4 linked regions of the Tamandua tetradactyla genome follow. The protein of the gene in region 2 purifies or fractionates together with the protein of the main gene of each other region. This does not show direct contact. Links are inferred from orthologs where the notes say so. Each region holds a gene or a part of one and is shown on either strand. Other genes may lie near its edges.

Evidence for each region.
Region 1: the proteins of IFT57 (region 2) and IFT20 purify together in Homo sapiens (affinity purification with mass spectrometry; 3 studies listed by BioGRID and IntAct, counting the BioPlex papers as one, with this or other methods). This does not show direct contact. The link is inferred for Tamandua tetradactyla from reciprocal best matches to the Homo sapiens genes IFT57 and IFT20.
Region 3: the proteins of IFT57 (region 2) and IFT27 purify together in Homo sapiens (co-immunoprecipitation; 3 studies listed by BioGRID and IntAct, with this or other methods). This does not show direct contact. The link is inferred for Tamandua tetradactyla from reciprocal best matches to the Homo sapiens genes IFT57 and IFT27.
Region 4: the proteins of IFT57 (region 2) and IFT172 purify together in Homo sapiens (affinity purification with mass spectrometry; 3 studies listed by BioGRID and IntAct, counting the BioPlex papers as one, with this or other methods). This does not show direct contact. The link is inferred for Tamandua tetradactyla from reciprocal best matches to the Homo sapiens genes IFT57 and IFT172.

What each region holds. Positions count from the first base shown.
Region 1 is NC_135332.1:51,606,069-51,613,856, forward strand, and holds the start of IFT20 (intraflagellar transport protein 20 homolog), read right to left. Parts: upstream 3,005-7,788; 5' UTR 2,850-3,004; intron 1-2,849. Other genes in the region: TNFAIP1 (BTB/POZ domain-containing adapter for CUL3-mediated RhoA degradation protein 2), read left to right, coding at 6,533-6,737, 7,340-7,509. UniProt on the Homo sapiens protein: Part of intraflagellar transport (IFT) particles involved in ciliary process assembly. May play a role in the trafficking of ciliary membrane proteins from the Golgi complex to the cilium.
Region 2 is NC_135336.1:38,855,317-38,863,334, forward strand, and holds the start of IFT57 (intraflagellar transport protein 57 homolog), read left to right. Parts: upstream 1-5,010; 5' UTR 5,011-5,134; coding exon 5,135-5,346; intron 5,347-7,737; coding exon 7,738-7,900; intron 7,901-8,018. UniProt on the Homo sapiens protein: Required for the formation of cilia. Plays an indirect role in sonic hedgehog signaling, cilia being required for all activity of the hedgehog pathway.
Region 3 is NC_135333.1:29,076,431-29,083,493, forward strand, and holds the start of IFT27 (intraflagellar transport protein 27 homolog), read right to left. Parts: upstream 3,009-7,063; 5' UTR 2,913-3,008; exon of another isoform or gene 2,869-2,912; intron 2,581-2,868; 5' UTR 2,494-2,580; coding exon 2,460-2,493; intron 1-2,459. UniProt on the Homo sapiens protein: Small GTPase-like component of the intraflagellar transport (IFT) complex B that promotes the exit of the BBSome complex from cilia via its interaction with ARL6. Not involved in entry of the BBSome complex into cilium. Prevents aggregation of GTP-free ARL6.
Region 4 is NC_135329.1:11,404,743-11,412,349, forward strand, and holds the start of IFT172 (intraflagellar transport protein 172 homolog), read right to left. Parts: upstream 3,011-7,607; 5' UTR 2,867-3,010; coding exon 2,828-2,866; intron 2,804-2,827; exon of another isoform or gene 2,668-2,803; intron 2,457-2,667; exon of another isoform or gene 2,374-2,456; coding exon of another isoform or gene 2,353-2,373; intron 292-2,352; coding exon 148-291; intron 1-147. UniProt on the Homo sapiens protein: Required for the maintenance and formation of cilia. Plays an indirect role in hedgehog (Hh) signaling, cilia being required for all activity of the hedgehog pathway.

The sequences.
Region 1 (7,788 bases), on a different chromosome or scaffold from region 2:
GGAAAGAGGCCGGCCACTGCATAGGCCCTTGGAAGGGGTGGGACTACCACTTTCTACAGCCGAAGGATAAATGAATTTCAGACTTTGAAATCCAATGGTGTTTGCCTGCAGGTTTTCCTTCCAGTTTCTCCCTATGGATCCAGTGTTTATCCTCCTTTGCATATTGGCATCAGATACCTTGTTTTGAGATTCACGGGCCCACAGCAAGAAGAGAAGTTTTTGCACCTGTTTAAGGTGATGCTTGAAGTTGCCAAGTTGACAAGGGGTGGACATGTGTTAGTTAGATTCAGTTGTCAATTTGGTAAGGTGAGCATACCTAGTCTTGCTGCTGTGGACATAAGCCAATGGTACGTGAACCTCATCTGTTGCTAATTACACCTGCAGTCCGCTAGGAGGCGTGTCAGCAGCAATGAGTGACGTTTGACTTAATTGGCTGGTGCTTAAATGAGAGATTGCAACATAGCACAGCTAAGCAGCTCGGCATTCCTCATCTCAGCACTTGCAGCTCAGCCCAGGCCTTTGGAGATGCAGAAAGAAGTCACCCCGGGGAAAGCTGTTGGAACCCAGGGACCTGGAGAGAAGCCAGGCAGAGACCATCCTGTGCCTTCCACGTAAGAAAGAACCTCCGTGGAAAGTTAGCTGCCTTTCCTCTGAAGAACTAACAAAATAAATCCCCTTTTATTAAAAGCAAATCCGTCTCTGGTGTGTTGCATTCCGGCAGCTAGCAAACTAGAACAGTTTCTGACTTTGATAATAGCATGAGAAAAAGCAAACAGTGCTACAAGAATTAAAAAAAAAAAAAATCCATGAACTGTACGATACAAATAGTGGACTCTAGGTTAAATGATGGTTTTTTAAATAATTAATAGTACAATTATAAAAAATGTGCTCTCATCAACTGTAACAAATGTATCACACCAATGTAAGGTGTTAATAACAGGGTGGTATACAGATATCCTGCATTTTAAGCATGATTGTTCTGTAAACCCACAACTTCAATATAAAAATTAAAATAAATAAAGCACACAGTGCTACATGAAGGTGTAGGTGGAGGACAATATTCCTATGGGTAAGTGAATATTGCCAACACAGGCCTACCTGAAAAAGTGACACTTAAGCTGAGACCTAAAAGTTGCCCCCAAATTTTTCAAGTGCAGGAGGGAGGGAGGCACTGCATGTAGAAGGATCAGCATGTGTGGCGATCCCGAGGCTAGAAGAAATGTGACACATTCCAAGAACTGAAAGGCCAGTGTGCTGGTTTGAAAGGAAGTATGCCCCCTAAGAAAAGTCATGTTTTAACATAAATCCCATTTCTTAAAGGTAGAATAATCCCTATTCAATACTGTATATTTGAAACTATAATGAGATCATCTCCCTGGTTGATGTGATTTAGTTAAGAATGGTTGTTCAACTGGATTAGGAGATGACATGTCTCCACCCATTTGAGTTGGTCTTGATTAGTTTCTGAAGTCCTATAAAAGAGGAAACATTTTGGAGAATGAGAGATTCAGAGAGGTTCAGAGAGAGCAACACTACAAAGCAGAGAGTGAGTCCACCAGCCAGCGACCTTTGGAGGTGAAGAAGGAAGACGCCTCCCGGGGAGCTTCATGAAACAGGAACCCAGGAGAGAAAGCTAACAGATGAGCCGCGTTCGCCATGTGCCCTTCCAGCTGAGAGAGAAGCCCTGACTGTGTTCACCATGTGCCTTCTCACTTGAGAGAGAAACCCTGAACTTCATCAGCCTTCTTGAACCAAGGTATCTTTCCCTAGATGCCTTTGATTGGACATTTCTTTAGACTTGTTTTAATTGGGACATTTTCTCGGGCTTAGAACTGTTAACTAGCAACTCATTAAATTCCCCTTTTTAAAAGCCATTCCGTTTCTGGTATATTGCATTCCAGCAGCTAGCAAACTAGAACAGCCAGTAAATGAGAGGGAGAGTGGAACAAGACAACGCCGTGCAAGGATAGAGGTGGATCATGGAGGGCTCTGAAAGCCCCAGTAATGAGCTGGGATTTTATCATACAAGTACTGGGTAGTCCCTGGAGTCTCAGCAGAGCGACATAATCAGATTTGCATTTTAGAAAGATCATCTGGCTCAGCATGGATACTGGACTGGAAGGGAAAAGAGGGTGTGGCCACACCTACCTTGTTCATCACTGTAACCCTAGCACCTGGCATGGTGTGTGCACATAACTGGCACTCAGTAAATGCTTGTGGAACCAACGATAGGAACTAAAGAAAAGTGTTCCGATTTCAGATGTTTTGTAGGTCGAATCGAGGGAGACTGGTAATGGACTGATTGAATACCGGGCATAATTTCCAGGGATCTTGCTTGAACCAACTGCATGGTTGGAGGGGACGGGTAAGACCGGAGAAAAGGCGTAGAGAAAGGGTTAAAGGGTTCACAGATTCTCTCTCAACTCTCACTAAATACATGTACTGAGCATCTGAGAAACACCGCGCACATGAGCCGGGACGGAACTTCCTAACGATGAGGGCCGTGACACTGCACAGCGGCACTCCCAGAGTCAAGCTAGGCACCATGAGCAGCTCCATTCATGGGCTATGGGCGGGGAGTACAAGGCAAAAAGTTAGGAAAAGAACTAAGTAAACTCCTTGAACTCATCTGAATCATAGTTTCCCCGCAAGGTCCTAACGAGCATCCTTGCGTAAAGCTCCAGTCCTAAAGAGACGGGAGGGATTCTCAGATTTCTTCTGGTCTGGGACTGCATTTCCTCAGGGAACGGCCCTGGCAGGTTCACCTCGCCCTGATTCTGCCCGAGTCTACACCTGGCTCAGAAGTACTGAGCCAAGCCCTGTTCTCCCAAACCGGAGTCAAGGCCTACCTGTCAGCTCAGGAGCGGCGGGGCGCTGCAGCCCAGGATGAGGCCGGCGGCCGCAGAGATCCCCGTTCACCCGGGCTCGGGGCGGGGCCCATCCGCGTCCGCCGCTGCCACGGCTACAGAGCCTATTTACCCAGTACGTCACGGCCGGACGCCGGAAGCACTTATGTGCGCCCGCCCCACAGAGCCTGCTGGGAAACAGAAGCCTAAGGGCTGGGGTGGTAGCCTACAAGATCCAGAGGGCTTTGCGTCGGCAAGGTCGCCGGAAGTAGCTGCTGTCTCACTGCGGAATACTCCAAGGGACTCCTCCCTCCACTCCGTTAAGGTGCTGAGAATGCCGGTCCTTGTAGTCCCGGTTGCCGCGGCCGGCAGAACGGAGGCGCGGCTGCGGGCGGAGTCCGCAAGCGGAGGATGTGAGCTCACTGCCCCGGATTGCAGGCGGGAGGGCGACTGCAGTCCAGGTGCAGCACGGAGTCGGCTCGCAACCAAACTGAGAGAAGCGCCCTCGTGGATGGTGAGAGCTGGGCCTGCCTGTGTCCCGGGGAAAGGGATGGAAGGGTCTGGTGCTGGAGCAAAAGGGCCCCACCTGGTTCTCTTGGCTCCACCAGTGGGACAGGGTAGGGTAGACGGCGAGCTCGAGTTCTCCGCGGGGGATAGTTTGGGTCTTAGTTTCTCGGCAGTTAGGAGGGTTAAGGGCCGGGGAAGACCCCACAGTGGCCGCAGGAGAAATTGGGTCTTGCTAAATTTCCCCAGACCCTTCATATGAAGCCTAAGATTCACACTCCGGATTTCTACTAGAGCCACCCTCTCCAGCCAAGATCCGCTTTCCCTAGCCATCCCCGACGTGTGACGGATACCTGGGTCCTTCTTTCAGGACTTCAACTCCCACCCCATTCACTGTGGTGTTTACCCTTTAAACTGCACGGGTTTGCCTTTTAAACTTCACTGAAACACGGATACGCCCCCAGCTTCCCCAAATATCCACACACAAAGTCCGGAAGGAAGAGTAATGAGGCTATGAGTGGAAATTTCATTCCCGCTGGAATCACTTTCTGGGCGTCACCCGCCAGAGGATTCCTGGGGCTCATTGGTCTGGGAGGAATCTGAACTGACGTCATCCGGAGCTCAAAGGAATTGCTTTGTAGAAAAGGGAGTAGATTAGCTCAGGAGACTTTTGTCTTCCTCTGTTGGTAAGCCTAAGCCTTTGAGTTCCTTTGCTGTGACAGAAAATGTAGTATGCTTTCGATAGTTCTGGGAGAATTGGAGCTAGACATAAAATACATGGGGAACTTATTAAAACCTGTAAAGATTTTGGGTGGGCGGAGGGAAGTAAGATGATCTTGCCATGCAAGTGTTACTCATCGATTAGGCAGTCTCTGCAAGTGAGAGCTCGTCTCATTCATGCCCCATTCCTCAGGCAGGTGGAAGAGGCGCCCCAACAAGCTGCCAAAGGAATTCAGTACTCCACACAGCACCCACTGTGACCCTTCCTTGGACATTCTTCCCAGGGACCTACCTAAATCTTTTCAGGGATAGTTTCAGTTTAACAGTCGACATGTATCAAATTAAAACATGCACGGCATTGTGCTAAGCACCATTTGGGGAAACCAGTGCACTGCTTTCCAGTGCACTTTTAAGAGATGATGAGCAATTCTAAACTCCTACTTGTTATGACATTTAAATGAGGTGATTCCACTTTTTTCTGTCTCCATTATTACCACTGCAAATCTTCCCACTTGCTTTAACACCCTTCCACTCCAATCTCTTCAGAGCAGCCAGAGTGATCTTTTCAAAACATGAATCAGAGAATGTCACTCACCTGCTTAAATCTCCAGTGGATTCCCATTGAAATTAATATAAAACCCAAACTCTTTAATACTATCCAGACCCTGCCTTCCTGACCTTACATCAAACAACTCCCCATTTCTTTCTGTGCACCAGCATCTTGGCTTTTTTTTTTTTTTGCATGGGCAGGCACCAGGAATCGAGCCCAGGTCTCTGGCATGGCAGGCAAGAATTCTGCCATTGAGCTACCGTCGTACCACCCTTGGCTTTATTTTTGTTTCTCCAACTTGTTTCTAACACAGGAACTTTGCATTTGTTCTTCTGTCTCTCTGGAATGTGCTTTCAAATATCAGTTTAAAAGTTCCCTTCCCAAAGAGACTTTCCCTGGCCCACTATCTAAGTTAGTGACTCCCCTTAATCACTCCATTATTGTTGTTTTATTATTTTTACTGCATTTATCACTTTTTGAAATTGTTGGCATAATTATCATCTGTCTCTCCTCACTAGAATGTAAGCTCCATGAGGATATGCCTACTTTGTTTTCTTCTGTAACCCCAGTGCCTGGCAAATAGCAGACACATGACAAAAGCTAATTCTTATTACTTTTACTCTTAACATTATGATAGTTCTTTGAACTCCTTGAAGGCAAGTGTAATCTCTTTTCATCTCACTGTCCGTACTACTTCACATAATAGACACTTAGTTTTTTTGCCGAATCAATTATATATTAAATGCCTAGAATAGTACCTGGCACATAATACTCATGCAATGAATGTTGGCTATATTTTTTTCAGTGAATGAATTTTGGTGATTCTTTGGAAAGCAAAAGCCATATCATATATAATCTAAATCACGAGGGATGACCTGCCTTGGTCATCCTTTTCTTTCCTTACTCCTTCTTTCTATGAATTCCTGTTAGTGTTTCGATTTCCAAATCACTTAGTTGTTTTTAGATTTATCATCGGGTCTTTGCTGGTCCTTTCTCCCCATTCTTGTTGGGAGGGAAGACAGGAAAAGATAGGGTTGGACCCCCTCTCAGGAAAAAGAAGCAAAAATAGCCATCCTGTAGTTGTTCTACCCTGAAAAATGGTGACACTTTTAGGAACTTGGGACAAGATTGTTGCCAAGAAAGGGGAAGGTTAGGAAACCCCAGCAGGAGCCAGGATAATCTCTGCTAAGAACCCTGTGGCCAGCTCCCTCCCACGTTGCTCACTCAGTTCTCTCAGGAAGCTGCTTTTACTTTACTTCTTGAAACCAAGCCCCAGAGGTGCTCAGACCAAGCACTGCTCCTGTGTCCGGAATCTGTTAGAAAGGAAGTGCATCCTGTCCCTCTAGCTCCTGGGAAACTCATAGGATGGCTGGATACTCTATAGATTTGGCTGGAAGTCTGGGATCCTGGGATTCTGACTGGCCGATTCCCCAGGTAAGGACTTCTGCTCTGTCCAGTCTGTTCTTCAGGGCCTCCAGCTAGTTCCAGGGACTTGCTCGTCTTTCATACTGCCCAGAGCTGAGTCGAGTTTTGTCGGGGCTGGCTCACTCTTGGCCTGGTGAAGTGACCAGAGCTAGGTTCTGGGAGACTGTGCTCCCAGGCTGGTTCCTGTACAATAAAGAACAGCAGGAAAGTCTTTCTTATTGTTGTCTGAGGACCTGGCCTCTGCCACGGAGTGCTTGGGCTTATCAAGAGGGCTCCCCTGGATAGCCAGTGTTTCTACTGTTGGTTTTGGCCCCTCTGGTTTAAGGGTTCTATTGTGCTCACCTCTCTCTACTCTTCCATCTCCTGCTCCCAGTGCTGAGAGAATGAGGCTCTGGCCTCCACTGGCCACCCACCTGTGACCCCTTCCACCACGGCGGAGCCTTCCAAGCCTACCTCCTGCCGTGTGGTAATCTACCTGCAGCGGGAGATGTCAGGAGATACCTGCCTGTGCCCAGCCTCAGGGGCCAAGCCCAAGCTAAGCAGCTTCAAGGGAGGAGGCCTGGGTAACAAGTACATCCAGCTCAATGTGGGGGGCTCCCTGTACTACACCACCGTGCGGGCACTCACCCGCCATGACACCATGCTCAAGGCCATGTTCAGCGGGCGCATGGAGGTGCTGACTGACAAAGAAGGTGAGAAGGGGCCTACTGGGTAGGGTGGGGAGAGAGGGAGGAGTTCCTGAGGAAGTGACTTCAAGGCACGGCTTAAGCCTAGCAGATCTGAGATCTGGATTCACTGTTCCTATTCACCTAGAATAGGACTTCTGGAGTTGTTAGTAGAGCTTCACAATTCTTTAAAATTGTACATGAAATGTTACATGTTTATGCATTTTTCCAGGGAGAACTTCTCATAGGACTTGATTTCATAAGAATCATTGCATAGTGACTAGGCAGTGGACATAAAGGAAGCAGAGCCTGGTGGTTTCTGTGTTGCAGGGTGCTGGCCTAAGCTCTCCTGAGCTTAGACCTCTGTGGACCACAGCAGGGCCTGGAAGGCCTGTCTCTCCCATGGTTTGTGCCAATTCTTCATTTCAGGGAGGAGGGTTAAGGAGCATCCATGGGCCTGAGAGCTAGACGTTCCATCCCCACTTGTCACCTCTGTGCCTTGGGCCTATGCTGTGTACCTCCTTTCAGCACCTGCCACCAGGCTCACCCAGGTGTCCTTTACCTGCCTCCTGTTTCTGAGGCACCTTGAAGCAAACAGTAATTCTCTGGGGTCTGGTTTCAATCCCTAGGCTGGATCCTCATAGACCGATGTGGAAAACACTTTGGTGCCATTTTGAATTACCTCCGAGATGATACCATCACCCTCCCTCAAAACCGGCAAGAGATTAAGGAACTGATGGCTGAAGCAAAATATTACCTCATTCAGGGGCTGGTAAACATGTGCCAGACTGCCCTCCAGGTAGGGAGCAGAGTTGGGATGAGTTGATGAGGTTGGGAGTCATCCCCTTCTTCAAGGACCTAAAGGTCCAGTTCCTGGAAACCAGTGTGGAGGTATGTCCAGTGAGTCCAAAGCTATTTAAATCCAGCTAGCCATCTCCTAGACAGAGGGCCTGAAGGACCTATGCAGTGTGAACTGGCTCTGCTTCTAGTTATTTGCTGAAATGGCTGAATTTGGAGTTTTCAGAAATGGGGTTTACTTGCCAGTGAGCAGCGAGGTATTTTTGTGGCCATGGCAGGG
Region 2 (8,018 bases):
TCACATCCTCCCAGAATATACATACCTACTTAAAGTCTGTTAATAGTCATCCCATCACCTACACGGAGGCAGTAAACTGAAGGCAGTTCACACATACATTTTATTTCTCCCACACCTTTTGCTCATCAAGAAAACAAACCCATGGAGCCAGGCAAAGCTTTGAGATATATAGAATATCATTGAATGGTACTTGCCATGAGAGCCAAAGTTAGCTGAAGCAGTCAACTATAATCTTGGTGGGATTAAACAACTTTTTTTCTAGTAGAAAAGAACTAGGAATCAGAAGTCCAGGGCATGAACTGCAAAACCACTTCCTTTTCTAAGTTAGGTCTTAGGATGTTCCATTGGTGTTTTGAACAAGAATTATTCTACATCTGGCCCAGGAATCTTTCTATACATTGGATGGAAAACTTCACTGAAGTTTTCATGATCATTGATTCCTTAGGTGGGTGAGTATATTTTAACCCTCAAAGTTGCAACACTAAGTACAGCAATGATGAATTCATAAAAAGATACAATATGTTAAAGAATGAGTTTGATATTTAAATATCCATGGTTGAAAATTTGGCCTATTAGAGAAAAAGACCAACTTATAACTCCGATTTATAATGTGTAATTGAGTAATTGACATAGATTTTGTTTTAAATTGAAGCTAGGTTTATACATAGTATTGAAATACACAATAGAACCTAGCATATGCATGCACGCATATACACACACACACACAACACCCTGTCCTTTTTTAAGCTTTTAGACTTCGTACCTGGAATGGTTTGTCAGACAGAATGCTTAAAATAATTTTATAAACAATGTAAAAAAAAAAAAAATTGACTGTAGCAAACACATTTATAAATTGAATAAGATTTTAATATCAAACTAAAGAACTAGGCTTCTTAGTTTTAAACTTTAATGTTTTAATCAAATACCTTTAACAACTAAGCGCCTGAAATAGTGTTTTCTGTGCAAAGCCACCCTCAAGAGCATTAGGATGTCACACTGTCACAAAAATCCAGATTCAGATCCTTGTAAAATCAGAATACATGGCAAAATTGGACTGCATTGCTGCCTGAAATGATGGTCCCCTCCTTGAGATGGTACATGACCTTTCTAGTTCACCATAGTCCCCTTCACATGTCACATTTACATACTCAGACCTTATAAAGACACTTGAGATTTTGACCCATTCATCCAAAACAGTGATACTCAAACAGTGGTTATTGGCCCTACAAGGAGCCATTTGGCAATGTTTAGAGGTATTTTGGGGGTTCTCATAACTGGCATCTAGTGGGTAAAGGCCAGGGGTGCTGCTAAACATCTAAAATGCAAAAAACAGACTCCCTAAACTTATTAGCCTAAAATTTCAATAGTGCAGAAGTTGAGAAACTCTGATCTGAAAGAATACAACTAAACCCCTCAGCTTAGCACAAAGGCTTTGAGCAACCTATGACCTTTGTGCATCCTAGAAACTAATCCACTGACATTATATGGGTTATAAATATCTTCACTGTTTAGAGTTCTTTGTTGTACCTAAGTTCTTAAATTGATGTGCATGAGTTTCTCTATTCTTTAAAATTTGTTCTTTATTTCTTTCAAAAGATCCTTTCCTACCCTAGGGTTAAAAATGTTTTAATATGTTTTCTTCTAAATATTCTACAAGTATTTTACATTTATACCTTTAATCCATCTGTAATTTGTGTGATAAGAATCAGAGATAATTGTTTCCATACGGATAGTCCATAACAAGGCTTCAACATCTATCAAGTAGTTCATCTTTCTCTATTATTTGGCAACACCAACTGTCAGATACTGTTTCCAGGATCTTTATTTTAGGTTCTACTTTTATTGGAATCTTGCAATTTGATATGGTGACTCATTTCCTATCTTTGAGCATTAGGTTCTTTAGATTTTTCCATGAATGTAGAAGTTTATTGATTTCTCCATAAAGATAATGATAAATTTACTCCTGGGGTATGATGTCATTTTTTTTATTGAAGGTTTTGTTTGTTTGCTTGCTAACTGCTATTTCCATCAGCTTTTTCTGTTCGGATCTCATCTATAGTAAACTTGCTAAGTTGTCTTTTAATAGGTTTCTGTAGATTCTCGGATTTTTTACTTTGTCAATCCATCACCTGTAATGGTTTCTACATTTTGCAATACTTGCTCCAGTTTTCTTGTCTCAAGGTACTGACTGATTTCTAGTACAGTTCTGAAGAGTAGATGTCTTCATCCTCAGTTGGTTTTAGAAGGATTCACTTCTAATCCTTCACATTTAAATGATTTTTCCCCCTAGGATTTTTAGTCAAACACTTAGCTTTATGAATCTATTAGTGTAAGGAATTTTATTCTATGTGGCTTTCTAAATTTTTAAAAATCATGAATGGGTGGTACTGAGCCACTTTATGACAAAGCTGCTTTGTCCTTTACGGCCGCCCGATCTTCTTGAAGACTTTTTCGAACATTTGGAGATGCAGCTTGATAGCCTTCCTCCATCTTTGAACCTGCCTCCTCTTCACCCCTAGCTTTCAGGGAAATCCACTTGGCTTAAAACAGCTTTGAATGTAACGCTACTCAGTTTTCAGAGATTAACCAATTCACAAAAAGACCTTAAGGGTCTCAAAAACTATCTCTGTTTATTTAATAGATAGTTTGCAAGAGATAAAGTCAAAATCAGAAGCCTGCTATTAATTGAGATCAACAGAGTAGAGCCAGGGATAGATCTCCCTTAAGATTCTTTAAAAGTAGTGTCAACATATTCATTCTCATCAAGCCCCACCTAATTCCTTCCTCCACAAATCAGCTAGTCCTGCAAAAGTTAACACAAATGTATCCCAAAGTTTCTAAGAGGCTGACAGCTAGAAGGGGATTTGAGTGCATTCTCTCCAATGAAGGAAAGTAATTACGTCAAGGAAAAGACCTCTCAGTGTTACCAACTATTGAGGGTAACCAAGGAATCAGTAAAAATAATTTGTGGGTCTTATGAAAAGGAATTGACATTTCAGTGTTGCTTTCCAATCTTTTTGCTGTGAGAAAACATGCAGTGTTGAAAAGCTAAGCTTCACTTCTTTCTCTCTGCCACAATTACTGAGGACACTATATTTCATTCGTTTTCCCCTCACCTCTATCCTTTCTTTTCCACAACAGTTACAAGATAATTCTTCACAATGATTCCAGGTTAGGCTGAGTCAGACATGGGAAGGGGATGGCTAGGTTTTACAAGTTTTTCCCCCAAAATACATCATTTTTGGAGGATTTCTTGTCACCCCAAAAAAGCAACACTTGATTATATTTCACACTGCATACTATATAAGATCCTGGAAATGTCAGAACTTTTTAAGTAAGCAGGGTGCCCTGCATCAATGACGATCTTCTTGGGCATAACCAATTTACCCTACAAAGTCTGATACTTACGTATTAAAAAAAGCTACAGGTTGCTTGTTGATTAAGCAAGCACCCCAAATCATCTGAGCTTTGGAGTTTATTTTCCATCCTAACAAGCTATCTTGTACTCAGAAAGTTATGCAGATGTCTCTTCCCCAAACATACATACACCCACACACTCACAGAAGGTGGAGTGGAGACTTAAGGAAAAGGGGGGAAATCACTGTTTGTGAAGGTTATGAAAAGGAAATATTAATTTGACAATGGTGTGGAGCCAAACACAATTTTCCCACTTATCTTTATTGAAGACAACTGGTTAATGACTTATAGCAGGGAGGCAATGCTGTTTAATTAAAAAACATTTCTCAATGCCTTTCCCTTTTGGATTAGTCTACAATGATGTGTGTTTCCCCTTTTTGATGAGATTTGCTTTCTAATTTTACTGATACCTTTATAGCTACCAAAAATAAGTTAGTTCTAGACAGATATTAAAATGAGAACAGACTTTTGCCCATTTTTTAAACAAAAATACAAAGATACTACAGGCCCATCGCAAACTTCAGTTATGTCAAAAAATGTGATTTCTATATTCTTTAGTGGCATATATAAGAGATAAGAGAGCCTCAAAAATCACATTAAAGACAAAACATATATTTGAGCATTTGTCTTAATTTTTCTTCTCCCAGCTACCTCCCTCTTACGCAGTTGTTAGGAAAGCTGCTTGATTCACAGTCTTGAGAACCGTAGATCTGGGCCACAGCTGTGGTCAGTGATGTCCCCTTTTTGCATTTTCTAAGACAATAGCAGCAAAATACATTATTGAATAACACCTGGTCTTTAAGCACACTCAGGCGTTTGGAATTCCTTTCAAGCTAATTGTCTCCTTCATTTTGTTCGTTTTAACAGGGCTTCCCAGAACTTTATACTATGTGAGACGGGTTTGAAATACATTAAGGAGCAAGATAGGAGCTAAATGTTCTTTTTTGAAATGGAGCAAATCCTGCCTGAGGGGCCTCCTTTTTGCTTTTCAGTTTCTACTTCCCTACCTGTTCCCCAACCAATCCCTTTCCTAGCACTGAACAAGAGAAAGGAATTGGAATTCTTCACGCTTTATAATATAGTGTTAAATAAGTAAAGCACTACCAACGAGAGGGAGAAAAGATTAGGTTACAACAAACAAAAACTCCTTGTTGTAGTTTCTGAGGTAAAGTAAAATCCACGCTATTGACTATCTTTATAACTGAAAATTTTCAATTTTAAGAAGAAAAAACTAGGTTTCAGTGGATTAGCGTAGCCTTCACTACTGCATGTCTTCATTTCCCTTCAATGTTTTTAACTTAGCTACCAACAGATCCATACACCAACCCTGCAACCCCGTCCAGCGAGAGAAGCTAAGCAGATTGCTAGCATCCCCCTCCTTTGCTTTTAAGCGGCTGCTGGAGGCTGAGCAGGCTGAAGCCGGGAGCGGAAGCCACGCCTCCAAGAAGGGCGGGCCAGCCTCCCAGCCACATCCTCCGCAAGGTGAGGGGCGGGGTTCACGGTGACGTCATTCGGAGGCCCTCTGTGATTGGAGGGAATTTAGAAGGGAAACAGAGGGCCCAGGAAAGAGGCGGAGCCTAGTTTCCTTGGTGACGGGTTGCCCGGCGGGTCGCCTGGTAACGGGTCGCGGGTGTTTTGGTTGTGGCAGCGCAGGCGGTGGAGGCCCGGGAGGTCTGTGGGCTGGAGGCCCCGCCGGCGTCCTTCTGTCTGCTCTGCGATGGCTGCGGCCGCTGCAGTCGTCACACCGACAGGTTTGGAGGATACAGTGTCTCGGACCCGCAGCGAAGGGGCTGGAGAAATGGTCGTGGAGCGGGGGCCCGGCGCGGCCTACCACATGTTCGTAGTGATGGAGGACCTAGTGGAGAAGCTGAAGCTGCTCCACTATGAGGAGGAGCTCCTCCGGAAGAACAACCTGAAGCCCCCGTCCAGGTGGGTCCACTCGTCCCTGAGCGCCTGGGTCCTAGCTGATCCTGGGGGAGATGCCTTCCCGCGTCCTACTGGGGAACGCCGAGCACGGGTTAGAAAGCACTTTCCTCCATCTTCCTAGTCGGGGAAGGGCAGCTTACCCCAAACTCAGCGACACTGTTGTGGAGCCCACAGAGTTCAGACTTGGTATTTTTGTAGAGAGAGGAAACAAGTTTTGGAATGTCAGAGGGACTAGAAGACAGCTAGCCTATTCTCTAAAATGTACACTTGTCACAAAACACAGACTGTATTTTCTGATTATAAAAGTAATAAAAATACCCATTGTAGAAAGCTTAGAAAAACACAAAATTGTGCAGAAAAATACTAAAGTCATCCGTAATCTTATCCTCAGGAAGGAGCACTGTTATTTAGCTCTATTTCTAGTCTTTTAATTTCCTCTGCGAGGACCTTTCCATACAACTGGCAACTGCAGGTACCTCAGACTTGCTGAGTACTTTATATGTAAACTTGTTGACTAATTGCTATGGTTTAAAAGAACTTCTTCTGCCTTTGCAATAAAGGTACTCTCAGAAACTAAGAAGTGGGAAGCAGAAAGAAATGACAAAATATTGAAATTGTCTCCTGGTAGAACCTAAGGTTCTGCCCTTGTTCCTACTGGGGAAAAGTTTATCTTTCCTTGATGATAGTACCATTTCTTGCTTGAGAGTAATGGATAGCAGCACTTTCTCCTCCAATTAACATAGTCCAGCTATAGTCAAATGAGTTTTATAGGGACTACATTTGTTTATTTTGTATAAGAGGCAATTTAGATTAAGAAGACTGAGCATTTTCTTTTAAAGTTTGTAACTAGGTTAAAGTAATTTTCCTCGAAGTTTTAATTTCATTCCTCTGCTCTTTTCTAATAATTTAATAGCATACTATGTAGACTTATGTAAACTGTCCATATTGCTAAATCAATCCATAATGTCAGAAAAATTGGAGGAGGAAAAAGTAGTATTGCTTGATCCATGATAGAACCTGTTAGATGAGGAGTTAGCATGAATTGATCAGGATAATATAGACAACTTACATTTTCTATGTTAATAAAAATTCGTTACCTTTTTCCCAATATATTTTTCAAACTAAATGAAAATGACCTCAAGGTTCTGTTGATATCAAGCTCTGTACTCTTTCCTCAGGAGTTCAGCAAGATACTTTGAGTCATGAATACAAATGAAGATATGCTGGCTCAGTGGTTCTAAAAGTGTGGTCACCAGACCAGTAGCATCAGCATCACTTAGAAACTCACTGGAAATGCAATTTCTCAGGCCCATTCCCCAATCTACAGTATCAGAAATAGGTGTTAGCATTTTGTGTTTTTAAAAGCCTTTTTGGTGATTCTTATGTACTTCAAGATTTGAGAACCACTATCCTTCCTCTTTGTTGGTATATCAGTTTCTACTGTCCTGGAGGGGTAATCGGCTGAAAAGGAAAAGATGAGTTATTGGTAAGTGGGTGCTTTGAAAGGGTCCTGAGCCTATATCTGAAAGGGCTGCAGGGCCTTTCCTTCTTTCTCAGCTTTTTGTTATTTTCAAGAACATTTATTTATCCTGCAGGAGAAAGTTTGGGAAACATGAAGAAATAAACCATTAATTCTTATGACAAATGGTGAGAATAGCTATTAATACAACATAAACATAATAGTAATACCTTTAAGTGAAAAAAGCAGGATAAGATCTTTGTTCAGACTGACTTGAATGCTATTGCTTGCAAGTTTTATTCTTAACATGTTTAGGTATAAATCATACTGATCCTCATAAGAATTTTTTTAGTAGGCTAGATGATTTAACAAAAGTTAACAATATTTGTTAGAATGGAGATGTGTTACTCTGGTTTTTTAAATCCTCGGTATACCATAGAACCATCTTGGGAGCTTTTAAAATAGACTCATACTGGGCTCCATTCCCAGAAGTTCTGGATTCATGCAAAGATATTAATGGCATGTTAAAAAGTAAAAATTTATTGTGAGTGGTCATTAATGTGTTTTTAATAACTCTGAGTTTCCTGTTTCCAGATTACCATTTTCAGGAGGCACTCTCTTATTATTTCTAACAGCTTAAATGATTTTGGCAAAACTTCCACATACACTACATTTTCTAGATATAAGGTCTTTGAGGTAATATTTTATGTACAGTAGTAATTGCCCTAATCCTATTTGTTAAAAGTTTTAATGTGAGTGCTGTGGATTACTGGAAACTTTAAGGGGTGAAATATTAGTGTCTTTTGATTTTAAGGCCATTTGAAAAATGGAAAGGGTCCTTTGGCAGATTTGGACTGAGCGTCTTTAGGTACCACAGACTTGTTTGCATTATTTCATATGCTACTTCTCTCCCCAACCCCCTTGTTTTGAAACAGACACTATTTTGCCCTGCCTACCAACCCTGGTGAACAGTTCTACATGTTTTGCACTCTTGCTGCTTGGTTGATTAACAAAGCAGGACATCCCTTTGAGCAGCCTCAAGAATATGATGACCCTAATGCAACAATATCTAACATATTATCTGAGCTTCGATCATTTGTAAGTGTAAACAACTCTTTTCTTTCTGCACGTTCTCAAGTTATGAACTTTAATATTGGTGATTCCACAATATAAATGCTAGATGCTTCGATGAATTCTCTCTGAATATATGTAGCTA
Region 3 (7,063 bases), on a different chromosome or scaffold from region 2:
GTTTAGGGGTATGGAACGTGGAGTCAGGCTCTAGCTCCACCATTTACTAGCTGTGTGGTCTTAGGTGAGTTACTTAATCTCCTTGGGCCTAATCTGCCACATCTGTTAAATGGAGAAAAAAGCACCTATCGCATAGCATCTCACTCATGAGAATTTAATGAGCTAACATGTACACTGCCTGGCCTATAATGAGTGCTATTTAAATGTTTATTAAGCAACTAAAATATAGATAAATGTCATTGTTATTTTCTCTCTTCGGCAGAGCCACAACATTAAACAGCTGTGCCAAGAGGCAATTCCCCAGCATCTGCCACATGGAGGGCATCTGGTTTGTCTTTGCCACATTATAACTTCTCATGACTATCTTAGCACTTCCATGACAGCAGGGCTGATTCATCCTTGTATTCTTATTGCACTCTGCATGCTGACTCACAGATAGTAGGTGCTCAATGAATATCTGTTGCATGGATCAACACTTGAATTGACTATCATGTCCCTTGTTATCTATATATGTGACAGAAAAAGATAAATTAACTCAGTTTTAACAGTGGACCTGCAAGGAGTGAAAGGAAAAGTAAAATCGGTGAGGGGAATACGTGTGTGTGTGCGCACAGAGAACAGGAATATGAACTCAGGAGGCAGAAGACGGTGGAGACTGACCCACCAGTCTTTTGGTCTCTGGAAATTTCCCAAGAGCGGATGCCTTTGAGACCTTGGAACAAGGATGCTGTGGACTGAGGGCCAGGCTGGAGTTCAGGGATGACCTACTCAAGCCATGGCTGAAATGAGATGACACAAATGTCAGAAGGAATGGGCTTCAAGAAAGGCCAAGGATGTAGGCTGCAGGCTTGAGGATGGTACAGCACAGCGCTAAGAACAAGCCCTGGAAATCAGATTGCTGGGTCTAGAGCCCAGCTCTGCCACTGATCAGCTGTGAGGTCCAGGGCGAGTGCCCTAACCACTCTTGGCCTCAGTCACCTCATCTGGAAAATCAGGCTAATGAAAGGACCGACGCTGTAGGGATGTGGATGCAGGATGGTCTGGGTTGAAGCATTTAGCACTGTGCTGGCACACAGGAAGTGTTCAGTAAGTTGGCCCCACGTTGGAGAGTTAAATTTAAAATAAAGAAAGAATGACTAAGAGATACAACAGTTTAAGAGAGAAGCCCATTAAAAAAAATCTAACCTGAGAAAATAAAATCTTTCCCACCCTACCTGTGAGGAAATGGGCTCAGAAGTGCTTCAACCAAGATGATATAGTCAATAAGAGGAACAGCTAGAATCAGTTTCATTACACAATACTGCCTCCCCTGGCGTTTAGGAAACATGAGAACCTCTCTTGAGAACCCTTAATTTCTTCTGCTCCAGTATGATTTGAGCTATTGTCAGTCATCTTTCTGTGTGACCCTTTTATTTCAAATTTCTGAGAGGTCATTAAAAATATTATCTATGTTCAATCTGGAAGAGGGACAATGCAAAAAAGGAATCTCTTCTTTCTCTGCAGAACTCCTGCTGCTTCTTTACTGAGCTGGTGGAAATCTGGCGAGCTCATGAGTTTCAAAAGTAGCCTAAGTTAAGAATTTTGGAGCGGGGTAGATTGAAATCCTGCCTCTGACCTTCACTAGCAGGTGACCTTGAGCAAGAGACTTCACCTCTGGGCACCTCTAAGATCTCAACACTAGCAGCACCTACCCCACTGTGTATGGTGACTGCTGAAACGAGACACGTGTGCCTGGCATGCAGCAAGGACTCAGGAAAATATGTATTTGTTTAGTAGCCACAAAGTCAAGGCAGCTGTTTCTGTAAGTGTGAAAATGGATACAAGGGGAGCCTGACAGATGGAAATGGCATGTATTTATTTTATAGATATTTATTGAGCATCTACTATGTTCCAGGCATGGTTCTGGGTGTTTGGATTTACTAGTCAACAAATCGTACAAAGATTTCTGCACTTGGGGGACTGAACACTTATTCTCTCTAGAGCGGGGCAGCACATCTTTGGGTCTTGAGGACAACATACAAGGGCCTTTTCCAAACTCTGGTCAACTCTACATTCCTCTCTCTTACCCCTGTTATTAGAGGGGTGGGGATCAGGGGAAAATCACTAAAATAAAGACTGCCAAAGTTATTGGTGCTGAACTTTGGAGTCCAAGAACTGACTTAGTTGAAGCACAAATAGGGATGATTTAGCTGATTGTTTAATGAGTCTACTTCTCCTGATACAGCTCAGGCTGGGGAGGGTGGTGGTCTCAGAATATGTCGAAGGTGGGGTGGGGGTGGAGGATCCAGCTGCCAAGTGCTTTGGAAGCTAATTTTTCCTACACCCAGGGGAACTGACTATCAGAAACTGCAAGGACTCGGGAAGAGGGCAAGCAATTTACGTGATCAAAAGCTCTCGATAAATTATGAAGCATCTGGACTCCGGAGACCACCGTATTCACCCCAAGTTTTCAAACTCACCTGCCAGGATGCATTTGGCTGCCAGCTTCACCATGGTAACCACCAACCACCACGGACCAGAGAAGGGAAGAGCGGCGGCTACAGGAGATGGTAGAGTGGGCTTCGGGGGCTCCGGGTCTGCCTGAGAAGGGGGATGGGGGAAGGGGGACGGGCTAGGACTCACTCCCAAGGAGTGACGACGGCGACCTGCGACAGCGGTGGGGAAGGGGACAGGTGGGGCGGCTAAGAAAAGCTTTAGGGTCCGGGGAAGCAAGAGAGCTCCAGATGGGGCTCGGCTCAGGCCTCAGAAAGCAGCCTGGAAAGATGAAAGCGTGGCGACACGGCTCCCCTCCCGGCCCAAGCCGTAGTCCCGAGGTCCAGGGACAAGCACCACACACCCCGCCCCAAGTCCCGCGTCTAACACGCTCACCAGGCGACCATCGCCCACGTACCCGCCTCCTCTTCCTCACTCACCCTCGATTGGCTGCCGCCGAAAGCTCCACCCCTGGAGGCGTCCCGCAGATCCAGTGGGGGGAGGTGGGCGGGGCGAGCATTCCTTCCTGGTGACACCATTCGTCATAGTGTCTGCTCTTCAAGCTCTTGCCGCTTGACGAATGGCTGCAGGAGATATCAATCATTTTCCTCTCCCGCCCCTACCTCTCCGGAAAGTCCCGGGAAAAGACGCTCCAACGCCTTGTAGCCCCGAGCCGTGATGAAAGAAGTTCTCTGATTGGCCGGAGGCTGGTCTGGACCATCTTCGGAGGAATGAGGCTCAGCTTCACCCCCTGCCCTTCTAGAAGTGGGTTCTCCCACGAAGGGGCCTTTCGGGTTCGCGGGACGCTGGAACGGCGCCTGCGCAGTGGGGAGGTTGCGGTGGTTAAAACCCTGCGCGCGAGTTTGCGCGCCACTGAATTCGCAGGTCTTTGTTGCTTTCCCAATTCCCATCCCAGGATTGGAGCTGTAAGGTGTTTTGAGAAATCCAGCCCTTACTTCGCATCCAGCAGCGACATCTCATTTTGTATACGCTTTGAAATCTAAAATACGAAAGCGTTTAAGGTGGTGCCAGTGAACAAATGGGAGAACGACTAAACTTTGGGCGGTTGAATGAAGCAACGCATGGATCTGGGGGTCTTACTTTCCTGGGACCCCATTTCCTCTCATGTAAAATGGAGATGTGTCTCATGCCACAGATTGTATGCAAGCTTGTGGTCAAGGACTTTGCCCAACACTCAGGAAGGATCCGTAAACAACAGTTAACTTTCCTGGGAGGTCCCTCTTGCTGTGCAGTCAGGAAACCCAGACTTAAATCACTGCCGTGGGCAGAAGTAAAACTACCTCATGGGTTGTTGTGAGAATTGAAAGTGAGAAAGAGTAGGGACAGTGTAGGTGTTCAATTAATGATTTATTGTCTTTTATTTTTACAAACAATTGTTGAGTGGATGAACGAGAAGGAATTTATCTAGGCAGACTTTGGGTTTATCATCATCGTCATAGGGTGGGCAGATGCACCCCCTGTTCTCACTTTTGCTGGGACCCCTGGGAACTTGCTCACTAAACAGAAGGAAAAGCGGCCGCTAGCATTTGGAACAGAATCCAGCACGGTGAGACACTCAATAAATGTTTTTGAATGAATGAATGAATTTGGTCGAGTTTACCCTTCTGGTCATCCATTCATTCAACTAGCAATTCTTGAGCTTTTGCTTTGTGGGGTACACGGGCTTATTGCTGGGCTTATAGCAAGGACCTTTCAGATGGGAGGAGCCTGATGCCTGGATCCTCCGCCCTCCCCCGCCCCGCCCCGCCCCGCGCTGGACCCACAGGCTTTGTGGAGGAGAAGGGGTTAATAGCTCTGCTCCCCTCAGTGCGCGGCTGTTTCGGCTGACCCAGAAGCAAGGACTTGGCTGGGAGGGGAGGAGAAGGGCAACTGTCAGTAGTTCCCAGGGACTCTTTAATCATCCCAGGCCGAGCGCCTCCTAACCGCTCTGACAAGCGGCTGCGATGAGCCGGGCTTGGCATTCCCTGCACAGTCCCGGGGCTGATTTTACCCTCTACGGGGTGCAAGCCTCTCTGCATCTTGCCATCGCAGTCGGAGGGTGTGTGTGTCTGTCTGCCTGTGCCCTACCACATGTAGGGCGTATTAGCAAGTTCCTTGGACACAAAATCTCTCTGAATAAAGAAGAGATTCTAGGGGAAATTAGTGGGGAAAAGACTTTTGAGAGTCATTCTGCATGAACCCTCGAGAAGAAAACCGTTGGTTCATTAAAGCAGACTTCCTGTAATGCCCTCATGTCAGAGGCTAATGCAAGAAAGAGAGGGGTAGTAGATTTGTAAGAATTTTATATATTTAGATCGGGGTTTCTCCAACTTCAGCACTCTTGACATTTGGGGCTGGGTAATTCTTCATAGTTGGGGGCTGACTTTTGCATTATAGGATGTTTAATGGCACTCTGGCTTCTACCCACCCGATGCCAGAATCCATCTCCCTACTTGTGATGACCAAAAATGTCTCCAGGCATTGACAACGGTCCCCTGGGGCTGCAAAATTGTCCATGGATGAGCACCTCTGGTTTAGATGTTATTAACTCAATGAATGAGGATTGTTGGTTTTAAAATTGAAATCTGCAAGGACTGGGGGCTCCGAGTGTCTGGGACTGAATCCCCACTTCGTCAGGTAACCTCTCCATGCCTCAGTTTCCTAACTGATCGTTTGGGTGCTGTGAGGATCACATGTTAAGGCGTGTAAAGGATCTAGAACAGCCCCTGACAAGTAGTGAGACTCCATAAATGCCAGCTGGTATTAACAGCCGTGGGCTGAGGACGAATCTTCGGAGGGCAATTTATAACGCTCTGGCGGCGCTCTGTTTTATAATGTCCTATAATGCACTGTGTTGCATGTGGTATGCTGCCTTCCCTGGGTGCAGGCTTGTCGTCATGACCTTTGCTGCTCGGCTTTTCTCTGTTCATGCGGGCCTGGCTGTTTATGCCTCTGCTGATGCAGTGCTTGGTGATGCTTATCTCGGTAAAGGACAGAGGAAACGCCACCGATTGGGTTCCCATGCGTCCGGAATGCAAAGCAGAGGCCTTGAACCATGGCCTCGGAACTGCACGCAGGCTGTGATGCACGGTCTCGGTCACCAGGGGGCAGCAGCAACCAGGGAAATAAAGCTGCAGGAAGCAGCCAAGGGCTGCGGGGTCTTTTTGATTTAGTTGGCTACTACCTTTATTTAAAGTTGAGCTAATGATCCTTCCAGAGCCAACCGAGACCTCCTTTACCAGCCCGGGATAGCTCATATGCGGGAGCCAAGAACTGCGTTTCCAGAATGATCCATGTTTAGCACCAAAAGGTTGGCATCCAGGCTGATAATTTCCCTGGGTATCTCTCTCCCTTTGATTCACAGCCCAGAACCTGCCACTCTGACCTCGGGTCCTGCTTGAGGTTTCACCCTGGGGGCTGCCAACGTTCCTCACTGTTCCCATCTATAACACTTGTAGAGCTGTGTTTCCAGGAGAGGACAAATAATTTGGAATGGCTCAGTCTGCACCCAGGGCCAATTCTGTTGGAGGTAAAGTTAAGCTGGGTACTGTTGCTTGCCTGTGCTTTCCCCCTTCTATGCCCTCTCCCCCCTCCCTACTCCTGGAGGCGTCCCACCCACTGCCCCCTGCTGTGCTGAGTGACAGATCAGCCCTCCCCAGCAGCCCTGTGTCTCCTGCTCAGACTCCATCTTAGCTTGCCACCTGCCCTTGCCTTGGTAACAGCTCAGAATCTCATTCTCTCATAATTCTTCTGAATCCAGTCTCCAGCCTGCCCCCCACCTCCCAACTAGCACACAGTGTCATCTTTTTAAAAATCCTAATTTTGAATGAATAATCTCTTTCCTAGGTTTAAAATTTAGCACGTAGAAAGGAATATGCATCTCTTCCCACCCCCGGCCCCATGCAGTTTCCGCCCCCAGGGACGCCCTCTCAGCGGGTGGTTATACACCCTTTCAGGGATATCTTAGGTACATTCCAGCAAACGCATTTATACTATATATTTTCTTATTCTTTCTCTCCTCCTTTCTCCCCACAGTTATCTTCCCAAACAGTCTTCTACACTTGGCTTTTTCCCTCTAACAAGGTACTTTGGAGAGGTTCCATGTCAGTTATGGAAAAAGCCCCTCATTCTCTTTTTAGGGTTATGTCTGGTTCAATTGTAGAACATGATCTTTCTAAATCTTGTCATATTTCCACTGAAAACCTCTCAAAGACTTAAGTGTCTCTGGGTTAATATCTGCCTTCCCCACAGGCGCTGTCCAGGTGGGTGAGTTCCCCCCATGCCCCCAGCTTCTTTGCACTTTCTGTGCCTGGGGCAGGATGGGTCTCTCTGGTTTTTAAATTTGACCTTTGCCCAAGAGCTCCTTTGTTAGAAGGGCCTTCCCCTTTTTACCAGATCCACTCATACTGTGCTTTTCTCAGCTTAGACACCTCTTGCACCGCATGCCCTGTACATTCCTTAACTGCAGTGAGTGGCATTTTTAGCTGAGGGCAGCGCTGCCTGGAGCCAGGTGTTCGAATCCAAACCCCGCCACTTCCTAACTGGGTGGCCTGGAGCTGCTTGCTACCCTTTCTGCCTCGGTTTCCTCCCA
Region 4 (7,607 bases), on a different chromosome or scaffold from region 2:
TCAATTGTAGTAAATGTCACATACCAATGCAAGGTGTTAATAACAGGGTGGTATATGGGAATCCTGTATTTTATACATGATTGTTCTATAAACCCATAATCTCTAAAATAAAGGAGGAAAAAAGATATACATGAGAACACTCTTCACCTTCATGTCAGCTGGCTTGGTGGAGAATTTATCTCTCCGCTCCCCATGTTCATCATATAGCAACACCACTCGGTCCACTGTGCAAACAGCAAATTTGGCATTGTTCTGGGACCAGGCCATGCAGGTCACCTTTGCGGCCCCATCCTGAGAGACAAAGGGAGTAAAATAAACCCAGCTGCTGGTTTAGAATGCCAGAAACATGTCTAATTCTGTTGCTTCTGGTATGACTTCAGTCAGTTTTCTTCCTGTCAAAGTGCTTTCCGTAACCATCAGACCCTGAACTGAGAGAACAATGTGCTTCCAGAGACCCATAACACCATTATACTAAGGGGTGACATGCTAAATCAATCATACAAGTGTGTTCCTGCAATGGCCATCTTGTCTCTCATACCCCAACTCTGCTACTAAGATAAACCCAATTGGCCTGATAAGTTCTAATCTTTAGCCAATCATTCAATGAATATTCTTTGAGCACCTTACCAAGAAAGGCATTTGGCCAGGGGCTGAGAGGGTAATGAGGAACAGAATGTGGTTCCTACCCTTGAAGGGTTTAGGATCTAATCATACGGTAAAAAACTGGAAAAGTTCCATAAGAGAGGTACCTAAAAATCATACAATAGTTTGGAAAAGGATGAGATAATTTTATATTTAAATGATCAAAATTAAAGTTGGACAAATGGACACAATTGAGTGGGAGAAATTATTTGAGGTGGAAGGAATAGCATGAGCAAAGGCAAGTTTGGTCAAGAATCAGTAATTTAGTTGAGCTGAACTCACTTTGTACACAATAGAATAGGGGAGGAAAGGCAGGGAGGGGAAAAAACAGGCTAGCTCAGGAAGGGTCTTTGAAGCCAGGCCACACAGTTTAGGCTTCTTTGGTAGGAAAGGGGGAAACAGTGAAAGTTCTGGAATGGGGAGCAAAACAGAGGTGAAACTTACGATGAACAATGTCATCCCCTCTCCCCCCAGTAACCACTTTACTGAAGCCCAAGTTGGAAATGACCACTAATTTTCCATCCTTTCCCATCATCAGCCATGATTTTTTATGATTCTGCCACTAAAGGTTGCCCTCCTTGAAATAAAACAAACAAACAAACAAAACAACTTTTAGCTTCTACTCCAATTGCTTGACTAATTAGTTGGGCTCTAGAACTCTGGCTTAAACACTGTTACTTTTCCCTTCACTCCTAACTCACCTACCTCCACAGTCAGAAGTAAAAAATCTCAAACAAGAGCCGAAAATAGCCATACCACCACCACTAACATTCTCCAACTATTGATGACATCAGATGAAAATGACTGAGGGCCCCTCCACACCGCTGCTGATCATCCTGCTTCATCACTTTGCCCAATCCTGCGCATTTGGCCCTTTCCTGCATCATGACATCATCTTATCTCAAGAGATTGAAGGGGCATTTCATTTCCAATTATTCTATTAGGGGAAAGGACTCTTAAATTACAAATTCAGGGTGCGGTTTACTGAGCCACAAGTACAGCTCTCTTAAATTTCCTTCAACTTTCCACAGCCTCTGTGAAGCCTTCCTGATCTTCACAATCAATTCTCCTTTCTCTACAAGACATACCTCACAGGACTGTTGGGAGGATTAAATGAGATCGGAAATCAAATAATAATAGCTAACTTTTTACAAGCAGTGCCCATAGACTACACATTTGCAAAATGTTTGACAGGCATTAGCTCATTTAGCCTCCTATCTCTGTGGTGAATGCTATCATTATCCCCCCTTTTACAGTTGGGGAAACTGAGGCATAGAAAAGTTAAATAATTTGTCCAAGGTTACAAAGTTTATAAGTGGCAGAGCCGAGATTGAAATCCATGTATATCTGACTGCATAGACTGCTACCCTAACGCCTGTACTTAAGCTTCCCTGGGACATAATAAGCACTCAGTTACAGCATATACTACTCTTTTAGCTTTGTATTATTTTGTCCTTTCGATTGTGAATATTCTTCTCTCTTGTCTATCAGTTTTCAGACTGCTTTTCCGTTTACAAAGTTCTTTTGTGCCTATCACTTCATTTAACTCTCCCCTGAGTCACCTGCAGTTGCTATTATTGTTCCCATTTTCCAAATAAAGAAGCTAGATGAGTTCTGAGAGAAATTACCTATAAGAGCCAAAGTCAGAAAAAACAGGAAATTTGTTTAAAGCAGTGGTGGAGCTAGCGACTTGAACTCAGGTCTCCTAACCTGACTGTCTTTTGTCACCATGACTCAGGGTTCCTCCTCTAGTAGCCTCTTTCACATCCTAGGGTCTTCGCCACTCGAATGAACGGTTCAGTCTTCCGCACTCCCTATTGAGAGGTTTGTATCTCTTAGATAAGTCTGTACAGATTTATGTTCGTTGCTAACATGAGCGCCTCGCCCTCTATCACAAGTCTCTTTAAGGCGGGGATAAGAACTTAGGTAGTTTTAGGGTCCCTTACTGCCCAGCCCGGGGCTTGGTACACAACTGATGTTAAACGAAACGTAAGGAAAGCTGCAGTTGTCGGCTGTCCATCTCACCTACTGCACATTTTGTGTGGACGGCGCAGCGTCCGAAGCATCCTTACAGCCTGTACAGACTTGCGCACACAATGGACGCTCGCCACTGTTAAACTTCAGTTCCCCGACTTTTCTCTGAACGGAAGGCGGGCGGGGGAGGTAGAGGCACGCAACTCCTCACCTGAGGGCTCAGCAGGGTCCTCAGGTGCTTCAACTGCATGACGAACACCTGTCTCGCAGATGCCACCAGCCAGACAACTCCCGTGGTTACCTGGACAACCCGCCACGCAGCCGCAGCGACGGCCTCTGACGCACCGGCGACCAGGGCACGGCAAACGCTACAAGGTCATCACGTAAACTCTTCGCGAAGCACACAGGACGTGCGCAAGCGCAGTGAGACCTACGGCGGGACCTCGGGAAGCCGCCTTTCGTCGACCAATCCCGTCACTGCTTGCAACCCTACGCTCAAGCCACGCCCACAAGCCCCTCCAAACTCTGGGTCCTAGGTAGGTGGCTTGTGTTTGATGTACGATCGCTGAGCGTGGCCGAGTGCATTCTCTTTTAAGCCTTTCGACCCTGCGGAAAGCAGGACCGTAGCTATTATAGGCATTTGATTTATGCCGGAAATGAACTTAGGTTCATTTAGGTTAGGTTCACATAGGTTATATGTGACCTGCACGAGATCACAAGGCTGACAGTGAATACCTAGTGTCTGCCAGGTACTGTGCGAAGTGCTTTACCTACATTATCTCATTTAGGCTCAAAACCACCTTTGGAAGGAGCTAATATTATTAGGAAACTCAGGATTAGAGGGGTTTACTTGCCCAAGCCAACAGATCTGGTATTGACCCCAGAACTGATGGAAGTTAAACACCCTTTATATTCCTTCTCAACTCCTGCCTTCCTGCCGGCCTGCTATATACACTGTGACACTCTCATCCAAAGAAATAATGTGTCCAGAGTTGAGAGATGAGTATTTTGGAATCAGTGGCCAGGGAGAGGTAAGATGTCCTACTTCCAAATTGGGAGACAGTGGGCTAGAGATTGCCTTTTTTTTTAATTTATTTTTGTTGTGAAAAATAACATATTTACAAAAAAGCAATAGATTTCAAAGCACACCGCAACAATCAGTTATAGAACAGACTTCAGAGTTTGATATGGGTTACAGTTCCACAATTTTAGGTTTTTCCTTCTAGCTGCTCCAAGACACTGGAGACTAAAAGAAATATCAGTGTAATGATTCAGCAGTCATTCCCATTTGTTAAATCCTATCTACTATGTTATAACTCCTTCTCCTTTGATCTTTCTCCCAATCTTTAGGGGTATGTGGGCTATGCCCATTGTAATTTTTTCATATTGGAAAGAGCTATCGATAAGATGGGATAGAGGATAGAGATTGCCCATATGACTCAGAACACAGGGCAGACCAGAGAGAGCTTGGCTTACCCTATAGGTGAAGGTTAAGTCTTGGGATACCTGGGATTGGGGCTTGGTTAAGTAAGAGATATATTTACTTGATTTTTGGATTGTATAGCTAGGATCCCTTTCAGAATTACTGGTCAAATTTTATGTAACCTAATTGAGAGAGAGACACAGAAAAGGAGGGTTATTCATAAAGCCTCCTGTGGAATGATCCCTAGGAAAGCCCTTAACCCCTAGAAAGTATCCTAAATACTGTCATTTACCACAGCAAATTTACTCAAAATCTGCCTGATTTTAGGTCCTGAAGCTTACATACACACACAGTGGTTTCAGATGTCAGCAGATATTTTTTCCTGGCTGTCACCACCCCTGCCTTGGGAATTAGGAGAGGGTAGAGGACAGCTCCTATTTTTATAAGAAGCAAGTAGACCCTAGTGGGGCAGAGTCCAAAGTATAATTCTTTTGACAGGGGAATTTTAATCCCTCAGTTTTATTCCCAAGAATCCTCCTCTGGACATGGTTACAAAGCCTGAATATAGATTCATTTACAGTTCACAATTATTAATGTGACCAACTGGACAGAGACAGACAGATGAAAGAGAAGGGAAAAGCAGAGAATAGGCATGGGGACCCACAGGAGAGGAGCCTGTGGCACTAAGAGTTCCTTCAGTGCAGCTGCTCTTTTGTTAATCCCTGAGACGCTGTTCAGTCCATTCTGACCATTATCCCACGGTCAATGGAAGCGGCAGAAGAGTAAATGGTGAGGCGCTGGGTTGCTGATGTAGGCAGCCAAGGTAAAAAGGCTAATGGCTCTGTCATGGGGCATAACCTTAATCTTCCACTGTGCAGAAAGAAATTATATCCCTCTTGTGCCCTTTTCCCCCTTCTCATCCAACAAGTGAAAGGAAGTGGGGCTCTAGTTCCTGCATTCCTTCTCCTTGACCCCTCTCCGCCTACCCCTTCAAGCCTGGAGAATCAAAGCAAACCCCTTACAATGAGAGTCTGTCCCTGTCAAGTTGTTGGTGGCATGAGGGGTCCTTGACCAGGCAGGAGAGGGGTGAAGTGGGGAAATGTCTTCAGCGTATTCTACAGTATAGCATAAAGTCAGCTCCGGTTTGTCCAAGAACCTTTATTGGAAAAATGTCCAAGGGGGTGAGATCACCAGCAGCTGGAGGGACTGCCAGGTGAGAGGGGGAGCACCTGAGGCTCCATGGAAGACATTGGAGTAGTGCAGTGCAGCATCTGCCTCCAGCCCCAGATGATTCTTTTCATTTGCTGGGGGAGAGGAAGTGCCCACAGAAACACCCCTCTCTGAGGCAAGATATAGGGGCAGCTGGGGATGCTGAGAGTCCTGATGCAGGTGGAATGGGGCCCCTTATTTGGGACCTAACGGGGTAGGGTTGAACAAGTGACTCTCGCCTGGACCTGGTGGCTGAGAAGAGGCATCCTTTCGGATATCCACTCCCCAGGTCCAGGGGAACAGACGCTGGCAGACCTACCTTCTGGCCCTGCTCACAGTGGAAAGAGGATGGGGGTCAGGCCTGAGATTGCGGGAGCGCCATCCCCCTCTGGGAGATTGTGGGATCCTTCAGCCTTGGACCGATCACTGCCTTATGCTCACCCTGACCCCACCCCCATGCCCAGTTGTTCGCGCATCTCTCTCTTGGTTTGTTTCTGTCACTCAGACATCGATGGTGTTGATGGACGGTGACTTTTTCTGAGAAAGGAAAATGGGTTTGACTCTAATTTCAGGAAGGTAATAGGCGCCACACCTTTTCTCCAGCCTCCTCCAACCCATACCTTCCACGCTCCCTCTTTTCCTGCCCCCCTTTGGTCTTCTCTCTTTGCCTGGTTTCCCTTCCCACCCTCACTGGTCCCACATCACCTGTCTTGTCCCTCCTGGCCTTCCCTGAGGACTTGGTTCTGGCCCCTTCCCCTTCTCCTTGGGATTGTTGTTGGAGTCGTTGTCCTTGATGATGTCGTACTGACGGCAGAATAGCCCAATTACAGCTGAAACAGCAACCACACCAATCTGAGCCTCGATCCTGACCTCCCCCATCACTGCCTTGAAGGGCAGCGGGATACCCAAATGGCTTCTAGAAAACCCGAGAAGAAAACCCTTGAACTCCCAGTGCCTGTGTGGGGTCTGCCCTCTCCGTCTTCTCCCTGGGATCCCAATGGCCTCTTCTCCCTCTCTGCCAACTCCCCCATCATCCCCCTCAACTCCGTTTCCTTCACACCCTTTCTCCCAGGGACCTCCCACCTGCCGGGAGCCCCACTCAGCCCCTGGTTCCCCAGCCAGCTGCTTACTCACCAGCCCACATAAGCAGCACCACCACGACGATGGCGGCTTCCCCTGTCTGCAGCGGTCGCTCTCCATCCAGACCCTCCACAGTGATGTCACCTGAGAAGGGAAGAGACAGACTCTGGGCTTCTGGGAGTCAGCTGGAGAATTAGGCCTAGGCACAGGGTTAAGGATGGAGATGCTGGGGATTAGAGTCAGGGTAAACCCATCCCAGTTTGCATCTCGGGGAGGAAACGGTCAGTGGACAGGGAATTAGAGACTGAGAAGCTGGAGGGCCAGAGGTCAGGCACTCACTTATGCAGGCTGCAGCTGCTGTGAACTGAGGCTGGGGAAAAGGAAGCTCGAAAGCCCTTCCCCCAAAGGATTAATTCCCAAGCTGTCTAGAACCATTCTTCTGCCCACCTGCTTTTCCTTCCTTTCCTGGCAGCACAATGAATCAAATCATCCCTCTATTCATCTAAGCTAGACCGGTGCTTGCCTTGGGGGAAATAAACAAGAGGCTAAAGGCCAAGGTAAAAAGCCAGAGGATCCCGAGTTTCAGGGGGGACCTAGGGAGTGGATGGGATCCTTACCTGGGCTCGAGCTGTTGGAGGGCAGCCGGTCAGAGCCCTTGAGAGTTCGGAAGTGCACCCGGGGTCCCGGGGGGCTCTCTCCCCGCAGGCCAATGCTCCTGACTTGCACGGTGTAGTCGCTGTCCTCAGCCAAGCCCCAGAGGGCACAGGCCCGAGTGGTGGTGTTCACCTCCCGGATCACGCGCTGCCCGGGGCCGTTCTGCCGCTGCGGGGAGCAGACGGGAGGGAGAAGAGCCTCGTGCGGGTCCCGGGCCTCAAGGCTAGAACCGGGACTCCCGAACAGCCAGACACCCCCAACAGAGCAGCTTCAGCTAGGAAACACCAACTCTCAGATTTCCCCACCGCTGGGGAAAGGGGAGGCTGGGGGGCTGGGGGCGGGCAACGGAAGGAAGGCTCAGAGATTCAAGGACACAGATTGTGGGGGGAGCAGCGGGCTGATTCATACTTGCTGGGAAATGGAGTAGCCAATGACGATGTTGCCTTCTGGGACGTCCCAGGACACAGTGGCCGAGTTGGCTCTGAGGTGAGTGACCGTCACGTTCACAGGAGATGGAGGCCGGTCTGTGGGTGCCGGCGTGTGAACAGGTTAACCGCCTCCACCCGCAGACCAGCCGTGGCTGACCCTCAACCCCCGGCCCCTCTTCACTCACCTGCTCGCACAA